2 linked regions of the Arabidopsis thaliana genome follow. The protein of the gene in region 1 purifies or fractionates together with the protein of each later gene. This does not show direct contact. Each region holds a gene or a part of one and is shown in the gene's direction. Other genes may lie near its edges.

Region 1 (5,882 bases):
ACTTCCAAGCACCTCAGGCAATAATAAAGTTTTCGTTTTTATCTTAATTAATGAATGAATGTCACAAAGTTTGTGAGATGTACAAAAAGCGTCGAGGAAAAGGATAACAAGGAAACAGAGTCGAAACCAGAGAAAAGGCAACGCAAAGATTCCTTTTTTCGAAGCTTAACGACAACCCACCTTCCATCTGATTTAAGTAAAGTTAAAAGTCACTAATTTAATATTATTGAACGACCGAAACAAGTATGTTGATGACTTTGTTCTCCTTTAAATTATCATCACTTCATTTCTCAGAGATTTACGCACACAGAGTTCTCTTCTTCGTCCTAGTTTCTTCTATTCCAGGTAAATGAAATAAGATTCGATCAAAACCCAGATGGATTTTGAAATAGTTTTCTTGTGAATTGAATGAAAAGTGTGTATCTTTCCTTCTGGGTTTTGATTGATTGACTGAGAATATATATGATCACTTTATCTAGACTAATCTCGATTTGTCTTTTGCTTTCTGTGTTTGAGTAATTTCTCGTAAATCTCATATAATCAAATCCCCAGATTACTTGTTTTGATCATAATTCTTGATTCAGGTGAGAAGAAAAAATGGCGTTTGTGACCACTGCGGAAGTGTGTGACGCGAATCAAGAGATGATTCGAAGTGGCCAGCTCCGAGCTCTGCAACCCGTTTTTCAGATTTATGGTCGTCGTCAAATATTTTCAGGTCCAGTAGTTACTGTTAAAGTCTTTGAAGACAATGGCTTAATCCGTCACTTCCTCGAAGAGAAAGGTATTAATGATTCTTGCTTATAAAATTCAAAAGACTGAAACTTTACTCGTAGAGCTATGAACTTTCAGAGTATCTTTGACATGGTTTATTGGTATTGTTACATTTTAGATTCAATTCTTGTGTTACTTACTTGTCAAATAGTTTCAATTGTTCTTTGCTTGAAACTATGTTTGAAGAAGTCTTAAGATCATCTCTCTATGATTTAGAACTACTGCTCAGTGTTTATATACTTCTTCAGTCACTTTGCTAATCAAGTTCTTGAATACTAGAGACGAGATAGGTCTTTCAAAAACCCGAGTCAATAAACCAATCTGTTCTCTGTAGCATTCACATCAAAAGCTCAATAATGTTTTAAATGTTAAAACAGGCAATGGTAGAGTTCTTGTGGTGGATGGTGGAGGGAGTTTACGCTGTGCGATACTAGGAGGAAACCCGGTCGTACAAGCGCAGAACAACGGATGGGCAGGGATCATAGTGAATGGATGCATCAGAGACGTTGATGAGATCAATGGTTGCGACATTGGAGTGAGAGCTTTAGCTTCTCATCCAATAAAGGCTAGTAAGAAAGGACTTGGTGAACAAAGAGTCTCTTTGAACATTGCAGGCACTCGGATATGCGATGGCGAATGGCTTTATGCAGATACTGATGGTATCCTTGTTTCTCAGATTGAATTATCCGTTTAAAAGGACACAAGTGATGTTGTTGATTTGTTAAAATCTGTAAGCTACTACTTTTGTGCTTTGTGTTTCTGTAATGGCTATCAGAGTAAAAGTTGGCTTCTTTGAATATGATTATTGAACTATTGAATCCGTTTCGAGTTGATAAAAAAAAACATTTCGTAAAGTGAAAATTGCAAAAAGATCCTTGAAGTATCCATACAAGCATTTTTCGTAGATCAATTTCCAATAACTGGATACTTCGAGGGTCATTTTGCAGTTTACCAATTTTCTAAATCCGCCTTCTTGCAATTTCACAGTGCTTCGTTTTAGGTCAAACACAACGAAAGACAGAAAACCCTAATCACTCCGGCTTCAGCTCTGTGTGTGATAATGGCGGCGGAGAGATCGTCCATCACTCTCGGAGGGAAAGGTTCTTCTTTATCTTCTTCCTCCGTTTACAATGTTGCTTCCGGCGTCGCTAATGTTCGAATTGACTCTTCTGCGATCGAGAGATTCTCCACTAGAAACGTTCCATCGATCAAAAGGAGCTCCTTTGGTATCCCTCAAGGGTTAACGAACGAAGAAACTCGAGCTTCTCTGGCTGTTCTCTTAAACAAGCTTATTTTGTCGACTTCTGGTCCTCCTTCTTCATCCACCGCTCGTTCTGTTCTTCCGCTTAAGATTGTTGAGATTCTGAATTTGAAGGCTGAGAGTTTGGAATTGGGTGAGATTGATGTGACAGAAGGGGAAAACATTGTGTTGGAGAAGTCGTGTGCTTCGTTGATTGGGATTTGTTCTATTATAGATCACAAATCGACGACTCTTTCACAGATTGTGGATTCTGTTGCTGCGTTGAGTTGTGAGGTTACAAAGGCTGATATAGCTTCGTTTAGCTTGTTGGATTCAGGAGATGGGAATGGTGATAAAGATGTGATTGGTGTTGCTGGTGATCTCAAGGTTTTGCTTAACGGGTATAAAGGTACAGGGAAATTAGAAATAGAAGAGATTTCGAAAATCCCTTGGATTCATGGGAAATTCAGGTATGTGGTGAAAAGCGTGCACGCGGATGCTAGGAGAGAATTGAATTCCGGTGTTAAAGGAGGCAAAACTGGGTCTGGAAACACTGGGATTGGTGAGGCTTTAGGAACAACATTGTTACCTTTGTTAACGGCGATTAAAAACTTGGGAGTGTGTTCGTTCCTTCGTGCTAAGCTTTGTTTTGAGAAGATTGTGGATGAGAATCTGAAGAAATGTTTATCTGAAAAGATCTGTGTTGAGAATGAGAATCTAAAGAATAGCTATAAGTTAGCTTATACTGCTCATTTGGAAGAGGATTACTGCAGGTTTGCTCACAAACTGAATGAGTGTCTGGGAATTGTATGGAGAATTGTTGGTTTGGAGGCAGTTGCTGCCTTTTTTGCTCTTGCTGGTGGAGAATTGTTTGTTCAGAAGAGCGGAGATGCGGACAAAGAAGAGTCGAAGACCGATAAGAAAAAGAAGAAGAATGAGAAAAAAGCAGTTGTGGGAAAGGGGACAAGCCTAGTTATCCAGTTTATCAAAGATAGATTGGTGAGTAATGACGCAGCAAGTGATGGTGACCAGATGCATTCATTGATGCAATGTGGGGAGCAAATCTTAAATCTTTTCAACCCAGAGGGTCGCAGTTTTGATAGCTTGTTGGATAAAGTGAAAGAGATTGTAGAAAGTAATGAAAATAGGAGACTTCCCAAGCTTCCAAAGGTAAATTACAATCTCGTATATGGAGAAGGTTTAGGCCTCAGAGTTAATTTCTGATTTGTTTCATTCTATGACAGGGAACTCGAGATTTCGCTAAAGAACAAATGGCAGTCCGAGAAAAAGCCTTTTCAATCATACAAAACGTTTTCAAGAGGCATGGTGCAACTGCACTTGATACTCCTGTTTTTGAATTGAGAGAGACCCTTATGGGAAAGTACGGAGAAGACTCGAAATTGGTTTATGATATTGCTGATCAGGTAGAACTCTTCTTGGCTGCTGTAATATCATCAGTTTATGTGATGATTTGTTTGTCAAAATTTGAGCTCATATGGATCTATTAATTGCAGGGTGGAGAGCTTTGCTCTTTACGATATGATCTAACTGTTCCATTTGCACGGTATGTGGCTATGAATGGAATCACATCATTCAAAAGATACCAAATAGCAAAGGTGTACAGAAGGGATAATCCATCTAAAGGGAGATACAGAGAGTTTTATCAGTGTGATTTTGATATCGCTGGTTTGTTCGAACCAATGGGACCCGATTTTGAAATTGTCAAGATATTAACTGAACTCCTCGATGAGTTAGAAATAGGAGATTATGAGGTAATAACTTAAGTTGAAAGTCTTAATCTTTCCTGGTTGGTTTTTTCTTTGGCTATGTTCTTAATTCTGGTTTGTTTAAATAGGTGAAACTGAATCACCGCAAGTTGCTTGATGGAATGCTGGAGATATGTGGAGTACCACCTGAGAAATTCAGAACCATCTGTTCGAGTATCGACAAGCTAGACAAGCAATCGTTTGAGCAAGTGAAGAAAGAAATGGTGGAGGAGAAGGGCTTGTCTTCAGAGATTGCAGACAGAATTGGCAACTTCGTTAAGGAGAAGGGAGCTCCTTTGGAGCTGTTGTCTAAACTGAGACAAGAAGGGAGTGAGTTCTTAGATAACCAGTCATCAAGAGAAGCTCTTGATGAGTTGAGTATCATGTTTGAAGCTCTTAAAAGATCAAAGTGCAGTGAGAGAATAGTCTTTGATCTAAGTCTAGCTAGAGGTCTTGATTACTACACCGGCGTCATCTTTGAAGCTGTTTGTATAGGAGCAGAGGTAAAATCCCGCATTTTGGCTTCCTGCAATTCAATTAAAGAAATTGTAGTGTATGGCCTTTGAATTCTTCTTTCTGCAGGTGGGATCAATTGGTGCTGGTGGGCGATATGATAACCTTATAGGAATGTTTGGAACAAAGCAAGTCCCTGCGGTTGGGATGAGCCTGGGAATCGAGAGAGTGTTTAACATAATGGAAGAACTTAACGAGAAACAGAAACAAGTAACTTGCCAAACCCTTATGCTGTTTGTCGACCTTGTTTTAAAAGAATGGTTTTTGAAGTTTGTGTTATTTGCTATGAATATAGGTGATTCGACCAACGGAGACACAGGTGTTGGTTAGTATAATGGTGGATAATAAACTAGCGGAAGCAGCAGAACTGGTAAGTCAGTTATGGGGTGCTAAGATCAACGCAGAGTATCTAGTGAGCAAGAGGAAAGAAAAGCATTTCAATCGTGCAAAGGAATCAGGGATTCCTTGGATGGTGATGGTAGGCGAAAAAGAACTCAGTGGAAGTTTTGTGACATTGAAGAAGCTCGAGAAGGGAAGTGAAGAGAAAGAAGATCAAACATGTACTAGAGATCGTTTCGTGGAAGAATTGAAGAAACTACTCTGAGTCGTTGAAAAGAAATGAAAGGTACACACACTCACTCCTGGTTCGATGCCCAGACAAAAGGAATCACAGTGTTTTGCATTCTTTTTTGCTGTTTTCCTTGGTTTGTTTGATAATGGTGTTTTGCATGACTCATGATTGTGGAGACAAGAACTTAGAGATTTTGATGTTGATGAAGTTTTCCGTATTTAACTAATTAGAGGAGATATACGTAAATGTTAAGCCAATTATCAGAATTACGTTTCTTTCAAAAAAATCCTTATCCCTGATAACCTAATCTGCGATCTTATCAGAAAAAAGAAAGAAAAAATAAGTAGGAAATGAGGTGGAAGAATATAAGACCGAAAAGAGAAAATAAAACACAACAGGTAAGGTTGTCTCCAAAAATAAAAAAAGTGATCTGCAGATCTGTGTGATCGCATTTGCATGAGATGAGAGGAAGAAAGATGGTACGTGTTGGTTTCTGTACCTCTCTGCCGACATGTGGTGGCTTCAAGTAACTAAGGTCACTTGTGTATTCACATCTCACGTTTCCATTGACTATTGTCTCTACTCATTTTCGATTCAACTACTGAAAATATTTGGTAAGAAACAAACAGGCGATTTACCATCCCCTACTGATCATTTATATAAAAAAACAATGAGTTCTTTGGTTCCTTAAATAAGAAGAATTCACGGTGGTTATTCTTTTATATACAATAGTTTACTAAGCGATACAATAATTAAATCTGATAAAGAGTCTCACCCTCATGGGATGATTGACTGATTGTGAGACCCTAAATATGATTTTGATCTAAAAATAAATGATCTGTTTTATTGAATTTTCACAATTTTAATAATTCTTCATATTATATATTGATGATATTCTAGTGGATGTCGGAAAATTATGTGTAAGAAACGTCTTATCCAAGCCCATGTTAATTCTGCCAGCCTGAAACAAAAAAAATATAAATATTTTCATACATTAATACGTAAAAAATAATAAAATAAT
Region 2 (7,707 bases), on another chromosome or scaffold:
TAAGCTTTTAAAATCCCTTGTAAATCATTCAATGCCACTTACTTATGCTTTAAAAACGATTGTAAATCATGTTTTACCCTTTTATAAGCTTTTAAAATCCCTTGTAAATCATTCAATGCCACTTACTTATGCTTTAAAAACGATTGTAAATCATGTTTTACCCTTTTATAAGCTTTTAAAATCCCTTGTAAATCATTCAATGCCACTTACTTATGCTTAAAAAACGATTGTAAACCATGCTAACCTTTTTTAAATCCCTTGTAAATCATTTTATGCCACTTACTTATGCTTTAAAACGATTGTAAATCATGTTTTACCCTTTTATAAGTTTTCAAAATCCCTTGTAAATCATTCAATGCCACTTACTTATGCTTAAAAAACGATTGTAAATCTTGTAAAACTATTGTAAAAAGTTTTAAAATGATTTACAAAGGTTTAAAAAGGGGTTTTAAAGTATTTACCTATGTTTTTAAAGACTTTATAAAGATTTTAAGAGGTTTTAAAATGATTTACAAGGGTTTTTAGCAATTACCAAAGATTTTAAAAAACTTTACAAGGTTTTTTAAAAGAGTTTTTAAAAAATTTACAAGGATTTTTAAAAGCATTTTTTTTGCTGGGAAACAAAATTTACGAGAAAAAATTTTGGCGGGAAATTTATTTTTGGCGGGATTTTTTTTTTTTTGGCGGGAAAAAAAGGTTTGGAGGTGTTCTTCAATGAATAGGGGTGCTTGATGAGGCTTGTATTAAATGGTAGAAGTCCATGGAGAAATCGAAGTGTTCAAAATCGGAGGTGTTCTTCAATGGAAGCTTTACTATGGAAATGTTTTGTTTCGTTAAAGATGAAGAAGAAGAACTTTAAGCGTATATAAGTATCTGTGTTTGTATAGAATGACAGAGAAATCTTTGCAGGTAGAGTGGTCAAATGACCTTTGATTTTTCTCAAATGATAGGGGTTCGAATCCCAGGTCTGTCATTTCTTTTTAAAGAAAAACGAAAACGACGTCGTTTAGAATGGTTAATGGAGGTGTTAACGGGAGTTGAATAATCCGTTAACGACTAATTTTTTTGGCCTGGTCAATAAAATATTCATGGTTTAAATGGTGATCAACGATAACTTCATGTTTAAAATGACCATATATAAAGTTAACGTATAAAACTGTCATAATTTGAAAGTTGAGGTATTAAATAACATTTTTCCCTTTTAATAACTGTAACCAATATGTAACAGAAATCCATCCAACCCAATTTGATCAATAGCGTAAAAACTCATTATTGTTATAAAATTTTAGGTAGTTTACATCAAAATAATATCATTCATTTTTTATACTATAAAAATAGTATTTAGATTAATATTTAACAAGAATAAGAATAATTTTTATATATAGATCATATCAATCCACATAATAAAAAGAGAAAAACTCAAATATGAAAAAAATTCAAGTAACAAAAATATATTAGAATTACATTTGGTTGATTGGAAAAAAAAAAATTACGTGTAAAACTATAGTATTATCTGAGAAACGAATACAAAAATTTGCAACAGTAGCAGCAAAACAAATTCAAAACTTGCGGCAACGACAACAGCAACAACAACAACGAAACAAACAATAACATGCGAGGCAGTCTCACGGCTAGTGGCAGCAAACCCAACAGTTTATCTAAACGAGAACCAAAATTTACTCTCGTTTTTTTTTTAATGTTATCCTTTGATGAACAAAATGTATTTTCCAAATTTTACTTTTTTTATTTTTTAAGTATTATCCCTTAAAATAATATATCTTGCGGAAAAGGAATCGGATTAAATAAATTTTAACGGTAGAAAATAGGATAGGAGGAGAGAGAGAAGGTCTTTTATTGGTTTGAATGAGATTAGTGAAGGCAGCTTCTCTTCTGATTTCTTCAACCAAACCTCCGTCTAGGGTTTTTTACTCTTCCCATCTCCGCCGCCCTTTTTTCTCTCACTTCCGTTTTTCTTCCTCTTCGTCGACGTCTTCCTCCGTCGCAGTCATGCCGGGTTCCGAACCATCGGAGACTCAGTGGCCAGCAAAGAGAGTCCGGGATACTTATGTCGATTTCTTCAGAGGCAAAGGCCACAAGTTCTGGCCATCAAGCCCCGTTGTTCCTCATAATGATCCTACTCTTCTCTTCGCTAACGCTGGTACGATAACTTCGATTCCTCATATCTGTTTTTGCCGATAAGATTGGGAATTTGTCCAAGTTGATCTATGGAATTCAGATTCTATAGAGTTGACTTATTCTGTCTTCTTTTGTCTTTGAAGCTTTGGGACTTATTCAAATTTCTCAATTTCAGTTTTGGTCGAAATTTTCTGATATTGATACTGAGCTATGTAAATTAAGTTCTCTTGATATGTCTGGCGAAAAATAGAATTATTAATGACATTGAAACTTCTCTGTTTTTCAAGGAATGAACCAGTATAAGCCAATATTTTTGGGTACGGCCGATCCAAATACTGAGCTTAGCAAGCTATCTCGGGCATGTAACACCCAAAAGTGTATTCGTGCTGGTGGAAAGCATAATGATTTGGATGATGTCGGCAAAGATACGTACCATCACACCTTCTTTGAAATGCTTGGTAACTGGTCCTTTGGAGATTATTTCAAGAAGGAAGCTATCGAATGGGCTTGGGAGCTCTTAACCAAGGTAATTAAATACCTGGGAAATTTGTCTCTGTTTACTTGATTTAAGAAAAATATACATGGTATTATTCAGTAAACTATTGTCTCCCTCCCTTGGGACGGTATGTCTCAATTTTGTTAAGTGATTCTTCTCTTTTCATTTGGTTGTACATTTCAGTTTTGTAAAGTGATTCTTCTCTTTTCATTTGGTTGTACATTTCAGTTAGATACCTTGTGACAGTATTTCATAATTTTGTAAAGTTACTATTCTCTTTTCGTTGAGGTTGTTTATTTCATTGAGGTTGATACCTCCCTGTTTTCATGCCTCAGGTCTATGGGCTACCGACTGATCGAATCTACGCTACATATTTTGGCGGTGATGAGAAAGCTGGCCTTCAACCTGATAATGAGGCTAGGGATATATGGTTGAAGGTTCTTCCATCTGGACGTGTGCTGCCATTTGGTTGCAAAGTATGTATTGATTATTTAAGATAATAACTTTTAATCTGTTACCTAATTTTTTTGAATCCACTACTCATTGATTTCCTCTCTCCTGAGGTTACTTCACAAGTACTTCAGCTAAGTTGCCTTTGTATTGTCACCATTGTTTCTTGTATATATTGACACATCTGTTTGTCAATGCTAACGACAACCAACTGTAAGCTTGAATGCATTTTGGCTAGGAATACGCTATCATGTTTGGTAGTTGGCAGGCTTTAAAAACCATTGTTTATGATTTACAGTCAAAATCTTGTACAAAATGTAAAACTTAAGGGTTTTTAAATGCTGTTTTTCTTTCATTTAACTTTTGATTAAACTGCAGGACAATTTCTGGGAAATGGGCGACACAGGTCCGTGTGGACCTTGTACTGAAATACATTATGATCGCATTGGTAACCGTGATGCTGCATCCTTAGTTAACAATGACGATCCAACATGTTTAGAAATATGGAATCTTGTCTTTATTCAGGTACAAACCCTCTCTGTCCCAATTGTTATTTAGTTCCATTTTACTAATCTTTATCTCAATATCACAATTGTTTTAATGATTTTGTAGATTGTGTTACTGAAAACTCTATATTGTGCAGTTAGCTAGATTGTTATTGCTCCTTTAGCTGTGCTATCATATTCCCAATTGTTTCCTCTGACTGGGATGTTACTTATGTCTTCAAAATAGTTCAACCGAGAAAGTGATGGCTCGCTAAAACCTCTGCCTGCTAAGCATGTTGATACCGGGATGGGCTTCGAGAGGTTGACTTCTGTTCTTCAAAACAAAATGAGCAACTATGATACAGATGTGTTCATGCCTATCTTTGATGACATCCAAAAGGTAATTTGTGAAAACTTCTGTTGATGGTTTCATGACAGCTGTTTAATGATGGTTTCATTGAGTTATTTTTGTTTGGCCTCCTCTTAGGGACGCATTTGTCACCTTAATTAGTACTATCATCATTTTAGTTCATCAATTTTGAAGTGGATCATGGGTTCTATGCTTTACGTCGAGACTCCGTCAATTGTTTTTGAATATTTCTGGTTTATTGAATTTGGATTTCATGATAAAGGCATTCTACTATGGGTATCCTGGAGATTATTCGTTGTTAGCTGTGTCACTTTTCATGTATTTTTCTTAGTGAGAGGATTGAAAAAATCTTCAAATTGCTCTGTTTACCCTAGTTGTTGCGAATCTTAAGTTTAGGTGTTGATGCTTTCACTTTTTTAGGCAACGGGAGCTAGGCCATATTCTGGAAAAGTTGGTCCGGAAGATGTTGACAGAGTTGACATGGCATATAGAGTGGTTGCTGATCATATTAGAACCCTATCATTTGCAATTGCGGATGGCTCTCGTCCTGGTATATACTTGGTTTCTTGTCTCAATCACAATTGTGGTGGTTACAGAAAATACAATCGTCTTAGTATTCAATCATTTATTTGAGTTCATACTTATATGTTCTCAGAAAAAGTGTTTTTGGTTCATTTATTCTAAGTTGGGCATGATGAGTTTGTCAATTTTCTTCCTCAGACAATCTGTTATGTTATACAAATAGAGGTTTGTTATTTCTTGTAGTCTAACAAGTACCAATTAATATACTATCTCTTGCAGGTAATGAGGGCCGTGAGTATGTTCTGCGGCGTATTCTTCGTCGAGCGGTTCGCTATGGAAAGGAGATCCTAAAAGCTGAAGAAGGATTTTTCAACGGGTAGGAAATTATGTTTGATTTTCGTTGCATGTTTTGTTTGAATATTGTTTCAAATATTGTTTCGTTGTAGCTGGAACGTTTATTTCTGTCTTGTATCTTTATAAATGAGCATATTTTTTTGACACATGTTTTATCTCGGGCTTTCATATTACCTGTAGGCTTGTAAGTTCTGTCATTCGGGTGATGGGCGATGTCTTTACAGAGTTGAAGGAACATGAGAAAAAGATCACAGATATAATTAAAGAAGAGGAAGCAAGCTTTTGCAAGACCTTGGCAAAGGTAAGGGCTGGATTTAATTTCCGTCAAAGCTTTGAACCTCTTATCTTATTTTGTTTTGGGTTCTTCTGGCTCGTCGCACTGAAGTAAAAGAGACAGTTCACAGCTTCAATCAGTGGCATGTGATATTTCTGTATAGATTGTTTCCAATTTCATCATTGTTCAGTTTTAATGATGGTTAGACATAATTATAGTATTTTCTATAGGGAATCTTTTTTCTGAAAGATGAATTGGCTTTACCTGGTCGTTCCTCCCTTTTTTATGTGAATAGGTGGTGAGTATAAGAACAGTTAGACTGATTATAAATTTTCACGGCAGGGAATTGAGAAATTTCGGAAAGCTGGACAGGCGGTTCAGGGGAATACACTGAGTGGAGATGTACGTATCGAATCATTTTTGTGATGTATGTTAGGCGTTGCAGTATTTTCATCTGGGATGTTTGAATTCTATCTCAACATGTTGTCTTCTCTTTGCAGGATGCTTTTATCTTATGGGATACATATGGTTTCCCGTTAGATTTAACTCAGGTACGTAAGTCATTTATACTTATTTCTGAATGTTCGTGTTATTTTCTAACTTTTATTCTCGGGGTTCAGTTGATGGCTGAAGAAAGAGGGTTACTGGTTGATGTTGATGGTTTCAACAAAGCCATGGAAGAGGCGAGGGAAAGATCGAGAAGTGCCCAGAATAAGGTGTTTCAACTTTCCTCTTGTTTACTTTCTTAAAGAGCGTTTAATGCCAAACTTACGTGTGACTATGAACGAAGTTTGCAATCACATCATCTATTAACCAATCTTTTAATGTCATTTTTTTATAGCAAGCTGGTGGTGCCATTGTTATGGATGCTGATGCTACATCAACATTGCACAAGGCTGGTGTTTCAGCAACAGATGATTCTTTTAAATACATTTGGTTCCAGGTTTGTCCTTTTATTCCAGAAAACTTGCATGTTGCACCTGAAATGTTCTTATGTTGGCGTAGAAATGAAGAAGTTAGGGCATATAATAGTAAATGGATTTTGCTTTAAAGAAACCTTTATTGGTACTCTGCCACATATCGCTGCAGGACCACGAGAGTGAACTAAAGGCAATCTATACTGGCTCTACTTTCCTAGAAAGTTCAGCTGCTAGTGATAACGTGGGACTAGTATTGGGGTCTACAAGCTTCTATGCTGAGCAGGGTGGTCAGGTAATCCATTTTATTTGATATGTATTTTAGTTTGCTAATTGTTTTTCATTTCTGATCATATGACTGGTGGCATGAAATTGCAGTCTTCAGTATGTTCATCTTGGATTTGTATATATATACAAATGTAGACATGGCAGTAACACCATGAACACAATCATATCAGAACTGCATTGTTTGAATTTATGTATCGGCTGGCAAATACCATGATATAGTTATTGTTGGTTTTGCATACTAATTTCTGAAGTTGTCGTTGACAGTCACATAAATATTTTTAGATTTCATATCCATGAACAAGGTTAAGCTTTTGATTCACTTCCAATCATCTATATGTATATAAACTCTGTGCCTCTAACATTTTTTCTCTGGCAATAGATTTTTGACACTGGACTTATAGAAGGCTCGTTTGGGACATTCAATGTATGCAATGTACAAATATTTGGGGGCTTTGTTCTTCACATTGGTTATCTCTCTAAAGAAACTGGAGAGGTATCTGTGGGTGATAAAGTGATTTGCAAGGTAACTCTCTGCATCAAACAGTGTTTGTCTCATTCACCATATTTGGTACTATCCAATTTGTTTCCACCTTCGTTTTCATGCGTATAGGTTGACTATGAGAGGCGTAAACTCATCGCTCCTAATCATACTTGCACACATATGTTGAATTATGCCCTGAAGGTATCCCTTTTCTATAATTTAAGTAACCTAAACTGTGATTTTCTAATTTTTTCTATTGGATCTGAAAATATTCATGTCCCATGAATTCAGGAAGTGCTCGGGGATCATATTGATCAGAAGGGATCAATTGTTCTTCCTGAAAAACTGCGATTTGATTTTTCTCATGGTACATTTTTGAATAAAGTCATTTTTATTTTGATGTGGATGGTCATCTTAATTGTCTGATGGGTTCCATAATTTCGAGTAGGCAAGCCGGTTGATCCTGAAGATTTGAGAAGGATCGAATCCATAGTGAATAAACAGATCAAGGATGAATTAGATGTGTTTTCCAAGGAAGCTGTGCTTTCTGAAGCCAAGCGCATCAAAGGTCTAAGAGCAGTGTTTGGAGAAGTAAGCTGTCCATCAGTTCTGTAGCTATACCTTTTTAGTTTGGTTTCTAAGAATTGTTAAAGCGTTCTCTCTTACTCTTTTTAGGTCTACCCCGATCCCGTCAGAGTGGTGTCAATTGGGAGGAAGGTTGAGGATCTCTTGGCTGATCCTGAAAACAATGAATGGTCATTGCTTTCTTCCGAGTTTTGTGGAGGTCTGTTTCCATTGGCATTAGCTATTGGGACCAAGATATTACGTTCTGAATAGAATGTTGAGTATAGGGTTATTTTGACAATTCCAGGAACCCACATAACAAACACCCGCGAAGCCAAAGCATTTGCTCTTCTATCGGAGGAGGGAATTG

The links.
Region 2: the proteins of AT3G02760 (region 1) and ALATS fractionate together in Arabidopsis thaliana (co-fractionation; one large-scale study listed by BioGRID). This does not show direct contact.

Annotation. Positions count from the first base shown.
Region 1 is NC_003074.8:596,600-602,481, reverse strand, and holds AT3G02760 (Class II aaRS and biotin synthetases superfamily protein), read left to right. Parts: upstream 1-1,698; 5' UTR 1,699-1,831; coding exon 1,832-3,181; intron 3,182-3,255; coding exon 3,256-3,435; intron 3,436-3,525; coding exon 3,526-3,783; intron 3,784-3,866; coding exon 3,867-4,280; intron 4,281-4,359; coding exon 4,360-4,500; intron 4,501-4,585; coding exon 4,586-4,894; 3' UTR 4,895-5,377; downstream 5,378-5,882. Other genes in the region: AT3G02770 (Ribonuclease E inhibitor RraA/Dimethylmenaquinone methyltransferase), read left to right, coding at 598-781, 1,149-1,465.
Region 2 is NC_003070.9:18,592,468-18,600,174, reverse strand, and holds the start of ALATS (Alanyl-tRNA synthetase), read left to right. Parts: upstream 1-1,695; 5' UTR 1,696-1,863; coding exon 1,864-2,158; intron 2,159-2,423; coding exon 2,424-2,662; intron 2,663-2,967; coding exon 2,968-3,108; intron 3,109-3,460; coding exon 3,461-3,607; intron 3,608-3,814; coding exon 3,815-3,967; intron 3,968-4,357; coding exon 4,358-4,487; intron 4,488-4,738; coding exon 4,739-4,835; intron 4,836-4,993; coding exon 4,994-5,114; intron 5,115-5,429; coding exon 5,430-5,489; intron 5,490-5,587; coding exon 5,588-5,638; intron 5,639-5,707; coding exon 5,708-5,803; intron 5,804-5,928; coding exon 5,929-6,030; intron 6,031-6,176; coding exon 6,177-6,299; intron 6,300-6,671; coding exon 6,672-6,815; intron 6,816-6,902; coding exon 6,903-6,974; intron 6,975-7,064; coding exon 7,065-7,140; intron 7,141-7,221; coding exon 7,222-7,364; intron 7,365-7,448; coding exon 7,449-7,557; intron 7,558-7,644; coding exon 7,645-7,707.